Mus musculus: one gene and its partner. The protein of the gene in region 1 interacts with the protein of each later gene in a pairwise test. Links are inferred from orthologs where the notes say so. Each region holds a gene or a part of one and is shown on either strand. Other genes may lie near its edges.

Region 1 (8,435 bases):
TTTTTGTAAAAGAAAGATTGAGTGCAGAGAAGAGAGCAGTGGGGGCAGGAGCGATATAGCTCAGCAGTCAAGAGCACTTGCTGTTCTTCCAGTTTGGTTCTCAGTGCCTACATATGGTAGCTTACCTTTAGTTCCAATTCCAGGGGATTCAATGTCCCCTTCTGAACTCTGCAGGCACACACACACACACACAGAGTGGGAAGAAATAAAAAAAAATGTTTTTTTTTTAAGTGAGGACAAAGTGGGTCAGATACTATATAACTCATCCTGGGGCCTGGGGGAATGGCTCAGTAAAACACTTGCCATGCAGTCCTGAGGACCTGAAGATAAAAGCCAGCAGCAGCGTATGTCTGTGACCCCAGTGCTGAGAAGGTATAAATAGGCAGATCCCTGGAGGTCACTGGCCAGCCAGTCTAGCAAAAAGGGTGACTTTCAGATTTAATGACAGACACTCTCCAAAAAATACAGTGGAGATGAGTTGAAAGAGGCATACACCAGCTGATATGAGGCCCTCAACACACATACAGTAGAGGACTTCCAGGTCTGTGTTCATTCAGAGATGATACACCTAACCCTCGAGAGACTGCCCCAGGGAGTTTAGAGGTAAGGTGGTGGTGATGGTGGGGTTGGGGCATCCAAGTGGAGACAAGGGTGGGGTGGGGAGGAGGTGTGGGGTGTGGAACAGTCGGAGGGTGGATGGAGTGGGGCGGGTAATGGAATATGGAGTGTAAAAAAATAATTAAAAATAAAATTAAGAAAATATATAAGAAACAGGGGCATATCAAAAAAAAAGAGGCAACCTAGGCCAATCTTTGGCTTCCACACATACATGCACATGAACTTGCATGCACATGTGCATATATCCACACAAGTACATATATCAGCATCCACCGTTATCTTTTATATATGTGAATTCATGACACCTGTACATATATGTACATGTATATAAAACCAAGGGATCAATTTCCAGTATCCTTCAGGTGCCATCAACTTTGTTTACTATTATTACTAATATTATTATTTTGTACATGCACAATGGGGTACACAAGTGCTATAGTATATATGTGGAGGTTAAAAGACAATTTTGTGGAGTCAATTTTTCCTTTTGCCTTTTTGTGGGTTCCAGGGATCAAACTCAGGTTAGCTGGTCTGCAACACAAGCACCTTTAACCACTGAACCATCTTGCTAGATTTCATTCACCTTGATTGTTGAGACAGAGCCTCTTCATTGGCCTGGAGCTCATTGACTCAGCTAGACTTGCTGGCAGCCAGTCTCAGGGATCTTGCTGTTTCCTCCTCTCACTGGCATTACAAACACAGATCACCACACTTGGTTTATTTTTATGTGGAAAGTACCTGAAACACTTACTTTACCAACTTGAGCCGTCTCCCTAGAACCCAATAAGTCAGTTTGAAGAGCAGGAACTAATCCATTGCTGCAAGAACTAATCCAGTCTTGCACGGATGATGTCAATCCCCTGAAAGGCCCCACCTATCAGTATCCATGCACTGGCTACCAAAATTCCACCATGAATTTTGACAAGAACAGACCACATCCACACCATAGTAATATTCTCTTTACTCTTTCCCCAAATGGTAGCTAGTTTGATTTCTTTCACTATAAACTGGTTTTTCCTGGCTTAGAATTCCATTGAAAACTATAGTAATGAAAACTATAGTATTACTCTTTAGTTCCTGGTTTTTTTTCCTTCTTTTAAACTTAGGTCTAGGAAATTCATCTATGCTGTTCTATAGTTGTGATTGCTGAGTGTTCTATTATGTGACGTTGTCATAGTTCATGGTCTATTCTTTTGTTGGATACCAAGGCTGTTTCTAGTATTTTTTTGTTTTTAGTTTTTACATTTCCTAATATGAATAAAGCTAATCTGAATATGTGCATACATGTTTTAGTGTGGATATGTAATGGGCTGTGGTTGGCTCACCATAGCCAATTTAGGGCCTTTCTTAATTCTGGTTCAGTGATGTCATATTGGTAGTTTGAAACATCCACTGTAGGAATCTTTATACCACAACTGACAAATGTTACAAATTACAATTGTTTTCTTTTTGAAAAGCTGGTTGTTAACATTTACCAGCATACCATGTGGGTATATGTTTTCATTTCTCTAGAGTAAACACTTAGAAATGATGTTGTTGGATTCATGATTGATTGATTTTCAAATTATTTCTTGTCCTGTTTTTGCAAAGAACTTAAAGAAAGAAATCTTATCTTTTTATAGAACCAACAGACTCAGCCCATTACATACAGGTTCTCAAAATAACTACTAGCTCGTTTTGAAGTAAGAAAACGTGACGGTACCATTTGGGACACAGAGTTTCTCTTAAATTCATCTAGTAGTCAGGGTGGCCATCTGTTACTTAACTATATCCAAAGGAAAACCAAGACTCATATCTTAGAAGAAAGAAGGAACAACTTTGAGCTGGACACATAGAGGAAGTTTGCATCAGACAGGGAGATAGGGGTGTTGTTACATTTGAAAGAGATGGTTTCAAGGCCTTTAGGAAAATTTTCTGTGGTTGTAAAACTGGCAAGAGACTGCCATACTCTTTGGGGAGGGGCAGGGTGCTGAGAATTTAACTCAGGGCTTTGTGGTTCATTCTCTTGTTGAGCTACAACCCTAGAACTAAGCTTTTAAGGAAGATTTATCTATCTATCTATCTATCTATCTATCTCCAATAGACAGAGAAAATAAAAGTTTTCTGAAGGAAATGCTCCAAAAAAAGAATGTAGGTACATACACATGTGTGTGTCTGTGCCTTTTCTTATTCTGATGCCTGGGTAAATTCAGTTTAAGAATTATATTCATCCTAAAATATGTCCACAAATGGCTGCCACAGGATTGCATTCCAGAACAACACTCCCTTCTTCACCTAGCCAGCTGTGGTCTGTCTTTCAAATTCCTCAACCCCTTTCCTCCCTCCCTAGAGCCAGACCTCCAGCACGGATCCGCTAATTAGCAAAAGTTATGACTACAGTTTCTTAGAGCTGGTAAATACTGAACATCATTTAGTCTGAGTCCACCCTGTTTTAAAGACCATCAAATTAAGATATATGAATAGTCCTTTAAAATGTGCTTTACACTACTGGCCAAATTGCATTTAAGGGTTTCTCTTGCTCAGATCAGTCTTAAATGGCCAGAAAATACAAAACTGAAATGGAGTCGTGCCTCTGACACGCACACCAAAAAAAGACAAGCTTCTTTATTCTATAGCACGGTTAGGGTTAAAGTCCTTAAAACGCAGTAGTCGCCCTGACTGCGCCTGCGCGCCAATCAGGACAGGCGAATTTGCCCTAGAGACAGCCATTTGAGCCCACCCCTCCTAATCCGGAACACGACCCACATTCCGCTGGCCCTGTCTTGATGGGCATGATCATCCTCCAATAAGAATGGAGAGACGAGTCACAGCGAGCCAATAGCAAAAAGCCTAGGGACGGTGGCGGTGGACTGAGAGGAAACAAGAAGACAAGCCCAAGATGGAGGCGGTGGTGGTGGTAGCGGTGTGACAGGTGAGGGCAGGCCCGGTAGGGTTCGGGTTTTGGAGCGGCTGCGGGACCCGGGTATGAAGTCCAGACCGAAAGCTCAGCTCCAAGATGCTTCCGTCTGAATCTCAGCGTTCTCCCGCCCGGAACCAAAGGAGTGGTTTGACCAGGGCGAGACCGTCGTCATCGACCGTGGGAGTGGATGGAGGAGTCGGCCTGCAGGCTGCAGTGGTGGTTTCGCTTGCTGCGCGTGGCAGTGCACCTGCACAGAGCTTGAAGCCCTTGGGGAGGGCGGGACGGAGCCAAATTGGGTCTGGGGTCTGGGGCTTGGGTGCGAAATTCCAAGGTGAATTCTTAAACCCCTTAAAATGTCTAATGACGTTTCCTCACGACGTCCAGGAGATGCAGCTCTCTCCCATGGTTCCTTATTGCCCTTCATATTCTACGCCACCTAGGAAGATGTCTGACGATTACCTCATTATCCCTAGTTCACCCTAATCCCTTTCCATGATTTCACAGTGCGTTTACACCAGTAATCTGTTTGTGACCCCCAGTAGTTATCAGGTACAGTTTTTGGAAACCCTTCCCCCAACCTCACCTCCATCTTCTTCATCTGGATACCATTGTCTTCCTTTGCCTTTCCTCTTGATAGTGTTTTCTGATGAGCCATCATTGCCACTGCATTTGATTTAGTGTGTAATGTGGTCTGTTATCCAGCTGTTTTTCACAGTCTGTAGTGACTCTTATTACATCTCTCTTTAGTCTAGGGTATGGCGAACCTCTGTGGACTCTAGAGGGTCTGGTGACCTCTATTAGCTACCTGACAGTACCTTTGATTCTACCATTAGCCTTATAGCTTATGCTCTGGAATACCCACAGTGCCTTTTAAGGTCATTGGTACTGTCTTCATTTCCTTCAATCTAAAAACAAGGTCTGATGATCCTCCATTTTCCTGTCCCCTGTCTGTGTCTGATTACCCATTCTCTGAAGCTAAGACAGCCTGTTTATTTCCATTGTGTGCCTGAGACCTGTGATTTTTCAGTGCAGTACATAATGGCTTCCCCATTAATCTCTAGAGAGTCATGTGTTCTGCACTGTCCAGAACCGTGTGCACTGTCTCCTCACTGCAGTGAGTCTCAGATCTTGGTACTCAACTATGACATAAGCAATAGGAGATTCTCAGCAGAGAAGGGTTAGTATCATTGGGCTGGTTCATAAAAAGTGGGATTTAGGGAACAGTGGGAACTTGGAGATGGAATTTTATATGTCCTCTGCCACTCTGCTTTCAGGCTGTCATTACTAGACCTCTGAATTTCTCCTCTGTCCTCTGCTAGGAGGCCTATGGCAGCTGCCCAGTCCTACCTCAGCCCATCTTGAAAACAATCTTAGGCAACATGGAACCACCACGAGGCCCTCCTGTTAGTGGGGCTGAGCCATCTCGGGCAGTTGGCACTGTCAAAGTGTACCTGCCTAACAAGCAACGCACAGTGGTGAGTCACTCAGGCAGTACTGGCAGGGGTTCCAGATAGTCGTAGTGTGGGATCAGAAGGGTGGCGAGGGTTAGGGAATGAATGCTGCAGAGGGAAGGAATAATTGGCTAGGGTACCTATTGGATACTGAAGACCCCAATCTCTACACACACACACACACAGGTGACTGTCCGGGAAGGCATGAGTGTCTATGACTCTTTGGACAAGGCCCTGAAGGTGCGGGGTCTCAACCAGGACTGCTGTGTGGTCTACAGGCTCATCAAAGGGTAAGTATGGAAACCCCATGCCATTCACTGGGTCCCTACACACCTCCTTTCTTCAGTGCCATCTTATTCCTCCTCATTTGTCTTGGAGTCTTCCACTATCTGAGGTAACCCAGGTGACATCTTTCGTTTCCCTTCATTGACCATTGGAAGGTCTGCAATTCACTATGCACTCAGCCCTCAAGTCCTCAGTCTGTCACCTTCCAGAGTTCATCTGTTTTGTTCTTTCACCATTTCTTGAAGTCACAAGCTCTTTCTTTTCTCATGGTCCCCATACACCATGGAGTTGGTGGTCTTCATTGACCTTTCTATTCTTTGTTTGTTTGTTTGTTTGTTTTGTTTGTTTTTTTTTTTTTTTTTTTTTGAGACAGGGTTTCTCTGTATAGCCCTGGCTGTCCTGGAACTCACTTTGTAGACCAGGCTGGCCTCGAACTCAGAAATCCACTTGCCTCTGCCTCCCGAGTGCTGGGATTAAAGGTGTGCGCCACCACGCCTGCCTGACCTTTCTATTCTTGTGTTCCTTGGTGCCTTAATGTTTTGGATGGAGTTCCTGTTTTCATTTTACCTGTTTCAGTGTCTCAGGTGCTGGCTTACTACGCCTGAGATGTAGTTTCATTTGCCTCTCACCACATGCTTAAGATCATGGATTAAATCTGGGAGTGGTGGGTATACCTGTTAGCCTAGCGCTTGGGCAATTCACCTAATTGCTTGAGCCTGTTTCCTCATGTGTAAAGTGGGAGTAAAAATAGTGACTAACTTTATTTTTTATTTGAAATGTTACCCTTTTTATGTGTATGAGTGTTTTGACTGCATGCGTGTGCACTGTGTGTGTTCCTCACGCCTATGGAGGCCAGAAGAAGGTTGAAGATCCCACCGGAGTTAAGGATGGTTATGAGCCACGGTGTGAGTGCTGGGAACTGAACCCAGGTCCTCTGAAAGAAAAGCAAGTATTCTTAACTGCTGAGCCATCATCTCTCCTGTCCAAAAGTGACTAACGTAGTGAGAATTAAACATGTGGGAGAGTGGTTCGTGGATGGGACTGAGAGGAACTTTGGGAACTTCCCTGTCTACTGTGGTCCCAGTGTATCATCGCTCTCATTCTCTCCCATACTTCTTGCAGAAGAAAGACAGTCACTGCCTGGGACACAGCCATTGCGCCTCTGGATGGTGAGGAGCTCATTGTGGAGGTCCTAGAAGATGTGCCACTGACCATGCACAATTTTGTAAGTCTAATGGGGATGGTGGGGGAGGCCACAGTGTGGACAGAGAGGGCCTTCAGTCGGGCCTGCACTTCCCTGCTTTGTGGCTGCAGGTACGGAAGACATTCTTCAGCCTGGCCTTCTGTGACTTCTGCCTTAAGTTTCTGTTCCATGGATTCCGCTGCCAGACCTGTGGCTACAAGTTCCACCAGCATTGTTCCTCCAAGGTCCCCACCGTCTGCGTTGACATGAGTACCAACCGCCGACAGTGAGCCCAGCCTGGGGTGGCTTGAGGGGTGGGGAGGACGGAAGCCCCAGCACGAGGGCTTACAGTCAGCCAAGCTATACTCACAGCCTTCTTGTTTTACACCTTTATGCCCTCAAGGTTCTACCACAGCATCCAGGATCTGTCTGGAGGCTCCAGGCAGCAGGAGGCTCCCTCAAATCTCTCTGTGAATGAGCTGCTAACCCCCCAGGGTCCCAGGTAGGGATGTCGTAGATGAAAGGCCAGGGGGCCAGTGAAAGAAGGATTGGAGGACCCTGAGAGATTATACTTTCGTTTATTTGTTTACGTGATAAATACTATTGAGTACCTACAAGTGTTGAATATGGGCATGGGATTGTGGGATCATTGGTAAGGCACCCAGTCACTCCAGGTTTCATTTTTTTCATCTGGGAAGAGGGGATGAGATTTTCCCTAGTGGGTTCTGAAGAGGATTAAGGGTTGAGATATTTGCAATGCTTAAAGCAAGATCTGATACAGAGTAAATAACAAGTGTTATTCATTACAAGTGTATATATAAAATCATCTAGTTTGTTCATTTCTTCCAGTATAACCACACCCCAGTCTTTTCTCTTTGAAATAAATGTTACTGTATCAGAAAGTACTTTTATTTCACTTATGTTGGATATGATAGCATATAGTTTTGCATAATATATAAAAAGTAAGGTTAATGTATTATTATTTGTAGTTATGAGTGTATGTGTGTTGATTTACCTGTGAATTTAATCTCAGGATGGTGAAAGTAACAGAAGAATGTTTTTCTGTAAGGTATAATTCATGGGAGGTGGAGGCAAGACGATCAATAGTTCAAGGCTACCCTCCACTAAGTAGCAAGTTCAAGGCCAGCCTGGGCTACATGAGACTGTCTTAAAACAGTAAAAAAGGTGTTTTGTAACGTGATATATGTATAATCGTTATATGATGTGTGTAATGTGTATTACATAATATAATATGTGTATTGAAAACGTTGCCATTTTAATATAGGTAATGCTCATTATTATAAAATAAATAATATATTTGAAAAATACATGTCATTATGATATGTAATAAAAAGTCATATCTTACCCTTTCTCCAACTATCTTTGTCCTTCATTGTTCCTTCTTTAGACCTTTCTCCCAATATTACCCTCTCTGAGAACCCACTCCTGACTCCCCCAGGGACACTTTCTACCTCCTTCATTTGATTTTCCTCTTTTTGTGCCTATCACTGACAGGCACATTATATATTTGCTTTTTTATTCTTCTGCCTCTGCTAAAAACTCTACAAGGGCAAGAGCTTTTTATTTATGGTATCCACAGTTTGATCTCCTCTGTTTCGAGTTGCATCTGGCACACAGGAGGCACTCAGTAAATGTTTCTTGGGCAGATGATTACTGGTCTGACCAACAGACATGTACTGTTTGAGTGAACGCACATTCAGGGTGGTGGAGTTGGGCTTTCTTTGCTTTTTAGTTCCTTCTGCAGCGATTTCATAGCCTTTTCTCTATTAGCCCCTTTACCCAGCAACGTGACCAGGAGCACTTCTCATTCCCTGCCCCTGCCAATCCCCCACTGCAGCGCATCCGCTCCACATCTACTCCTAACGTCCACATGGTCAGCACCACAGCTCCCATGGACTCCAGCCTCATGCAGGTGGGTGTCAAGGAGGTGACAGTGGGGAGCATGGAGCATTGCTTAGAGCCATTACTATTGCCATAT
Region 2 (7,473 bases), on another chromosome or scaffold:
GCTGGAGGAAGAAGGGAGTGTCTCTTGAAACTGGGGCTGGAACCTTAACCACCCCGAGAAATACAGGGATGAGGGAGGCAGACCTGGAGGAGCTTTAGGATAGTGTGGACTACAGAGCTGCAGGGAGTGGCTGCGGTTATGGTTGAACCCCAAGACCACTTACCCCTTTATGCTGTAGTTCTTTCCACAGAAGCTCCACCTGCTCTGTGGGTATGGAGTACTGCACAGGCCCGGGGAGCTAGGTCTCTTTGGGGAAACAGATGCCCTCCCACCATAGCACCCTCCCCCAAGCCTAACAAGTTGAGAGTAAAATTTCTGTTCTCTGAGCTGTGCCTTCGCATGGCTTTCCTTTTATAGAAAAGCTCAATTCTCCCCACACACGTTGCACACGGCTCCCTGAGGATCTCAACACATCTCCCAGGCAGATTGTGGAGCCAAGCCAGCCCACTCCCTAGTCACAGCCTCACAAAGCCAAACCCACAGCTTCTAAGACACACTGGATGGGGACAAGAGGGACCAGGCTCAGGAGTTTGGGGGTTATAGGTATGGTTTTAGAAAATAACCTCTAGGCTAACTCCCCATAGTCCCCCCCCCCCCCGTGTGGGGTTGTCTCAACTATACCATGGGGGAGGGGCTGGAGGTGGTTACTAGCCCCCCACCTCCAAAGCTACTGAAGGGTTGTGTATGAAATTGGGTGTTTGCAGGATTAGGCAGCAGTCAAAGGCAAGAGCAGATGTGGGTTTTGATTCCAGATCAATGGCTTGGGGGCAAGTTATTTTAGCGGCTTGGACTTCCAGTCGTCCCCTGGCTTGTAGAATGGGGGATCCTAACAGGAGCTTGGCTTGTTGGCTGTTTGTCACAAACCCTCAGAAGCAAACAGGCTAAGAACAGGACTGGTTAACTCAGCAATCTGCTTCACATGCAGTAAGCACTCAATAATAGCTTTTATTATAATTGCCACGGTTCAGAGGCGGGGAGGTGTGAAAGGCAAGGGAAGGGCATGGGGACAAGGGGGACATGGGAGAGGTGGGACAAAGGAAAGGCACTCTAACCTGTGCTGGGGCCGAGTCTGGGAAGGGGATGAGCCTGCTTGTACTCCCGCACATAAAGTGCCAGATATTATCAACACAAGCAGCAGCCATGGTGGGGTTTCTGGGTCTGTCTCTGAGGCAAACTGTACCGTGCATTATAGGTAGGCAGCGTCCAATGTGAGTCGAAGAAAGCCTGCCTGCCAGGGCCAGGACTCAAGGAGTGCACTGAAATTGAGGATGACCATAACAAAGAAATAAGAGATAAGAGGTGTCCGCATTTCCAGGAAAGAATGTAGCATGCCTGGTAGTTGGGGAAAGCTGAGGTTGGTGCGGGGTCCTTCACTCACCAGGGACTCAGTGTTGAGGGATCAGCAATGAGGATAAGTATGTAGAGAGAAGGGGACAGGGTAGATAAAGGCACCAGGTGGGGTTCTGGCCTGGCCAGGAAGGAAGATGGGTAGCTAAGGTAGGTAAGGACTGGACTTCTCCGAACGCCCTCAACTTCGAGCTAGGGCATCTAGGCATAACCCTGAGCACAGTCCAGGCTGGTGGCACCCCTCCACGGGGATGACCCTAAGGACCTGCCCCGACTGGTTCCCCATCACACCAACGCATAGTCGAACTGCCCGCGTTCGAGCGCCTCCTTGTGGTCGGTCCAGGACGAGGCGGGCATGCGGCTGTAGGGGTCTAGCAGTATGCGCACACAGCGCACCATCAACAGAACCAACACCACGAGCAGGCAGAGCACGAAGGCGAACACCGTGCGTTGCTCGACGTCCAGGCCCGCGCCCACCGGGGGCCCCGTCGACGGCGGCAGCGGCTCCGGTGATAGTGTCCACGCCGAACTCATAGCTCACATCGCCGCGCTCTGAGGAGAGAGGGGTACCCACCCCGGGGTCCGCGGGGATGAGGCTATGCCCTTCCTGCACCTCCATCCACCCCTTCTGGAGTAGCCCCTTTGCTGTATCCCACAGCATCATCTCTGTCCGTGTTGTCGTCTCCGGGCTACGCCCATGCCCCGCCTGTGCGCTCCGCCGCCACAGCCACGCGGGGACTCAACTCCAGCGGTGCGCGCAGGTGGGGTCGCTGAGAGCCGGGACAGGTCAGCTTAGATCTGCCCAGCCCGCGCACAACAGGTGCGATCGCGCTGGGACAGAGACCAGAGCTGCACTGTTTGAACTGGTCCCCGCCCCGCTCCCTTTGTTCTCCAAGGCCCAAGACCCCCCTCCCCCACCGTAGCCGACTCCCGGGCTACAACGCGCCCCCCTCACCCTTGGTCCTAGACGGGGACCGGCCGCCCTGCAGCCCCTCTCTCTCTCTCTTTCTCGGAACTCGTGCGCTGCTTTGCTCTGGTCTTCCCGGGTGGCAGTGGTAGCGGCGGAGGCTGTGGCAGCCCCGGCTCAGCCCACCCCACCCGCCCCTGGAGCGGTGGAGACCGAGGGAGGAAGGAGAGCCGCGCGCCAGCCCAGCCGCCGCGGCTGTTCCCATGGCGACGAGGGCGGGGCTGCGAGGGGGTGGTGGCTGTGTTAGGAGCGGTGCCTGGGCTTGTGACCCCGCCCCGGCCTGCCTATCGGAAGGCTGAACCTTCCCACCGCTGTGCCAGCCCAGACAGCCTCAGCTTCCAGCTCCTAGAGCACCCAGGACCTCGCCAGGACATGGGCATTTACGCCTCTCCCACGGAAGCCTCTCCTAACCTCGGTGTCTGTATCCGTATTCTTCCCGGGCAACCCCTTACCCCAGTCTCTGTTAGTTAAGCCCCGAAGCCTTAGGGAACCCCGAATTCAACTGAGACCCCAGACAGCTGGGATGCTTATTCTTCCCACAAAAGGGCAGGGTGTTGGCCCGAGAAAGCAGCACTCTCTCTGGCTACAATCCTTCACTGACCTAGGTCTCTGACAGGCCCTCAGTCCCAGCCTTCCCAGCAGAGAGGTACACTTCAAACCGTTCAAACTGCTCTTCTGCGCTTTGGTGTTTTATTAGGTCCAGATCTTAGGCTTATGTACAGGAAGTAAGAGCACTGATTTAAAAACAAAAACAAAACAAAACAAAAGGACCTAAAGTGGCTTGGAAGGCAATGCCAGTGGACTACTTAGAACAGCAGGCCAGGCCTCACCCGACAGGAGTCCTGGGCTGGGGCCTTCTGACACTGCCAGCAACCCCTGTGACGGACGCACTGGGAGACAGTCCCCATCCTGCTAGACACCCCAAGCTCTTCCCTTGTCCAGCTGGTTTCACAGCTGCCCTGAAGAACTTGGGGCAGAAGCTTGTTCACAGCTGTATCAGATGTGGCAAAGTGTCTCTGTGTGTCTGTCCCATGATGGTCTAGCCTCGAGCTGCCTAGACTCCATTGCTGCCCTCAGAGGATCTGCTCTGTGCTGGAGGCTGAGATGTCCAGAAGGCGCCAGGCAGCATAAGGGTTGAGCTCCTCCTGGTCTCTGCAGAGTGCCCACACGTACAGCATTCGCTGCACCTTGTCCTGTGAAGACCGGGCAGGGTGAGGGGTCAGGCTTGGTGGGTGTACAGAAAGAAGGGCTACTGAGGGGGACAGGGAAGGGGTTCCCGGGCTGCTGGCTCTGGTCAGTGGTCAGATGAAACGGTGCTCTGACTTCAAAAAGCTCTCAATTCGTACTTGTGGTGCTTCTGCCTGGCTCTGTGCTGGGGAGGCGTGCAATGCACAGGGCCCTGTATGTGAGAAGCACTCCCAAACCTCCATTCCCTTGATTACCACTCACCGGGTCACCATCATACACCTCGCCTTTGGAGTTCTTGATCACCATCACCACCTGGGCCTGAAAGGTAACGATCAGCACTGGGCCCTGCTCCATCATCTTGCCCATGGCCAGCTGCAGGAAACACACAAGTACAGGCCTCAGAACTGTACACCTCCACCCAATGCTCACAACCCTGGAGATGAAACGCCCCAAAGTTGCACTCTGTACTTGTCCTATAGTCTGACACTTTGCCGTGCTAAAGGTATGGTACCACCCTCCCCGACTTTAGAGGAGTGATTTTTTTCCAATGAGCTCCTTCTCATGGGCAACTCCAGGCCTTCAACTGTGGGATTTCTCTGTTCCCAGACTGGGTCCATGCAGGTTCATAAAACCAAGGGGTGAAGGAAGGCAGGAAGTTGGCTCCACTTTGCCTGCAGCTCCTACGAGGTAAGAAGTTCTGGTGACGGAAGCTGAACTGCCTGTTAGGGGCCCACGCTGCAGAGGCAGGGGCACCACTGCCAGTGGAGCTCAAGGGCTCAGCACCTGCCCAATAACACAGGATCCTGGATGCAGGATGAGCTGCGTCCTGATAAACACGCTTGAAAGTATCATGGAAAACTCATTAAAACACCAAATGAAATAAGCATCCTAGCCAAGTACAGGTAAGCAAAATTAGCTTCATTTTGTAATTAATAGGTAATGCAAAGCCTATTTTTATTTTGATACAGGGTCTCAGGTAACATAGGGTGGCCTTACTCACAATATAGTTATGAATGGCCTGAATCCCACTGCCTCAGCCTTCAAATGCTGGGATTATAGGCATGAGCTACCACACCCACTAACAAAGAGTATTTTACAATAAAGTCATTTAGCTCAGATTACCCTTAAACTCATGGGATCTTCCTGCCTCAACTTCCAGAGTGCTTGAATTCTAGGTGTGTCTCTCGATGCCTGGCTCACCGCATAGAATTTTGTTTTTATTTTTCATTTTTTGTATGAATAGCATGTGTGCTAATATGTGCACACAAACACAGACCAGCCCTCTCCTCAAAACCAACCAAACATCAACCAATCACTCAAGCCACATTGTTTGGCTGGAAATCACTTACACTTCAAGCGCAGAAATACGGAAAGCTTTGAGAGGCAGGTCAACAGTTTTGTTTGTTACCATCCTAGGAATTCAAGCCGGTGCCTTACAAATGCTAAGCCAGGACTCTTAGCACTGGCATATCCCCAGGCCTTGTCTTACTTTCTCTTTTGAAACTGTGTCACAAAGTTACCTAGATGAGTGTGGAACTCACTCTGTAGCCCAAGCAGCCCTGCCGTGAGTATGGGGGATCGGCAGGTCTGGCTTCATTTATAGGCTATGTCAGCTGCTGCTTCACTCTGACTGTCTGCTTCCTTGGGGATGACTTACGTCCACATTGCTGATGTCCAGAATTCGGGAGTGGAACTGGAAGCCCAGAGCCTTGGCCTGCTGGATAGGGTGGGCCAGCTGGCTGTAGGTCTGCAATGAGAGGCAATATGCCCATGTAGTCAGCCACTGATAGGGGTTGGGTTACACCCAGAGGTATAGCCACTTTTATATGCCCTAACACCCAAACTGGCAGAAGCCAAGAGCACAAGTCCAAGCCCAGAAGGATGCCACTCTTGGCTGGCCAGACCTGCACACTTCTCATTATGGAAAGAGCCATACGTCCAAGTAGGATCAGTATTAATCAGTGTAGTGGGTAATTCACAGCATCATCCGAAGTACACTCCCAGGGTAAGCTGGGGGACTCTTGGCTGATCTCTACTGTTCCCAGATTCACCTCCCCTGGAATCTTGGCCTGGATTCAAATGCCGTTTCTAGGATTTGTCCCAACCCTTTGGGCTGCCCTAGAACTCACAGCTTAAGTAGCCTCTCTCACAGAACATCCAACGTGCCACCCTCCACTGCCCCAAGAGCCTGGGGGACATGTAGCCACAAGGAGAGCAGTTTGAGCTTGGAGTCAACTAAGACAGGAAATGGCCTGAAGGCATTTCTGGACTTCAGAAATAACAGATGCTGAACAGAAGTGGGAGTGGCTCGAATAAGCAGTAGTGCTAGGTTGGGGAGATGGCTCAGTGATTAAGCACTTTTTGCACAATTATGATGACCTGAGTTCAAATCTCCATAATCCATGTAAAGTTGGGCGTATGTAATCTCAGCATTCCTGAAGTGAGATGGGAAGTGGGGACAGGAGCTCTGGAAACCCTTGGCCAGCCAGCCTGGTGCACACACAGTGGTGAACAAGATACCCTGTCCCACACAAGATAAGAGATGAGGATCAGCACTGGAGACTGTCCTATGGCTTCCACACAGCATTGTGGCACAAACACATTATACACACACAAAGGAGTGCCAACCCTACCTGGTGGGTTTCTGCTGTTTATTGCTATAGAGATAAGGGTTTCATGTAGCTCAAGGTAGCCATGAAGCAAAAAATGAGCCTGGGGCTGGAGATCCGGAGTTCAATTCCCAGCAACCACATGGTGGCCCATAACCATCTATAATAAGATCTGGTGCCTTCTTCTGGCCTGCAGGCATACATGGAAGCAGAACACTATATACATAATAAATAAATCTTAAAAAAAACAAAACCATGAAAAAACGATGTCTCTGCTGCTTCTCCTTCCCCAGTGCCAGGATGGTAGACATGGTCTCCACAGCTGGTGTGTCAGTGCTAGTGAGCAAACTCGTGGCTTCTGGCACATGAGGTAGAAGTGCCATGCCCCACACCCAGCGCTTCCTCAAGGCAGCATTTTACAAACACCTTACTGGAAGCCAACTACAATTTCAGCTGTGTTCTGGGGGTACCAGGCTATTCTTGGATAGAGAAGATCAGCCAGGACTTCGTGGTTCCAAAGGAGGAGAGAGGGAGGAAGGGAGGAAGGAGGAAGAGGAAGAGAACTCTCCTAATGCCCACTGGCTTAGTCACCAGTGCAGGGGAGTAGTTAAAAAGAGAACCTGACAGATCTTCTCCTCTGCTTTTCCCAAGTTGTTTGTGAGCTCGGGACAGAATAGGATGAGCCAAAAAAAGGCTCCAGATTGCTTCACACAAAGAAGCTGGAAGAAAAACAAAACTAAACAAAAACCTCACAACCCTGCTTGGAGATGCAGCCAGAAGCCGGTAGGGTGAGGTAAGGTGGCCTGAGCAGACCAGACGAGAGCAGGAGTTCCATGGAGACAGGGAGGTTGCCAGGAAAGAGCAGACAGCATGTGCTCCCAGTGAAGATACTGGCTTCCCCACAGCCTGCTCTGACCGTGACCCTGGGATCTTAAGATGAGCCATGACTCTGGGAAGTAGCTAGGGCCTCCTTAGGACACAATGTCCTTCCTCAGCCGGGAAGTCTACCCACATTTCTGTTTTAATCTTTGTTACATTATCTTATTAGAGGGGGGAATCTGCTGGGTCATTGTAAATACTTCAGTATTCACAGTTAACTCATAATCACCATGAGGCACCTGCCACCACCATGTATGGGGCTCAGCAGTGCCAGGGGAAACCTTATACATTCCAGTGAGCTCTTCCATCACCTTCCTGCATGGGACGCCCCCAACCTGCACATCCCAGGCCATCTTTCATGGGGTCCTGATCATTGCCACTTAAACTGTGCAGAAAAAAAAGACAACTACCCTGGAAATTATATATTTGTGTCAAGAATTATTTCTGCCGGGCAGTGGTGGCGCACGCCTTTAATCTCAGCAC

Evidence for each region.
Region 2: the proteins of Araf (region 1) and Timm44 interact in binary tests that used the Homo sapiens proteins (3 or more experiments, as listed by UniProt). The link is inferred for Mus musculus from reciprocal best matches to the Homo sapiens genes ARAF and TIMM44.

Annotation. Positions count from the first base shown.
Region 1 is NC_000086.7:20,845,091-20,853,525, forward strand, and holds the start of Araf (serine/threonine-protein kinase A-Raf), read left to right. Parts: upstream 1-3,452; 5' UTR 3,453-3,529; exon of another isoform or gene 3,530-4,836; coding exon of another isoform or gene 4,837-4,896; coding exon 4,897-4,992; intron 4,993-5,154; coding exon 5,155-5,258; intron 5,259-6,375; coding exon 6,376-6,478; intron 6,479-6,567; coding exon 6,568-6,722; intron 6,723-6,839; coding exon 6,840-6,938; coding exon of another isoform or gene 6,939-6,942; exon of another isoform or gene 6,943-7,815; intron 7,816-8,227; coding exon 8,228-8,369; intron 8,370-8,435. UniProt on the Homo sapiens protein: Involved in the transduction of mitogenic signals from the cell membrane to the nucleus. May also regulate the TOR signaling cascade. Phosphorylates PFKFB2.
Region 2 is NC_000074.6:4,256,749-4,264,221, forward strand, and holds the end of Timm44 (mitochondrial import inner membrane translocase subunit TIM44), read right to left. Parts: intron 5,250-7,473; coding exon 5,160-5,249; intron 3,875-5,159; coding exon 3,764-3,874; intron 3,508-3,763; coding exon 3,388-3,507; 3' UTR 2,983-3,387; downstream 1-2,982. Other genes in the region: Ctxn1 (cortexin-1), read right to left, coding at 1,633-1,881. UniProt on the Homo sapiens protein: Essential component of the PAM complex, a complex required for the translocation of transit peptide-containing proteins from the inner membrane into the mitochondrial matrix in an ATP-dependent manner.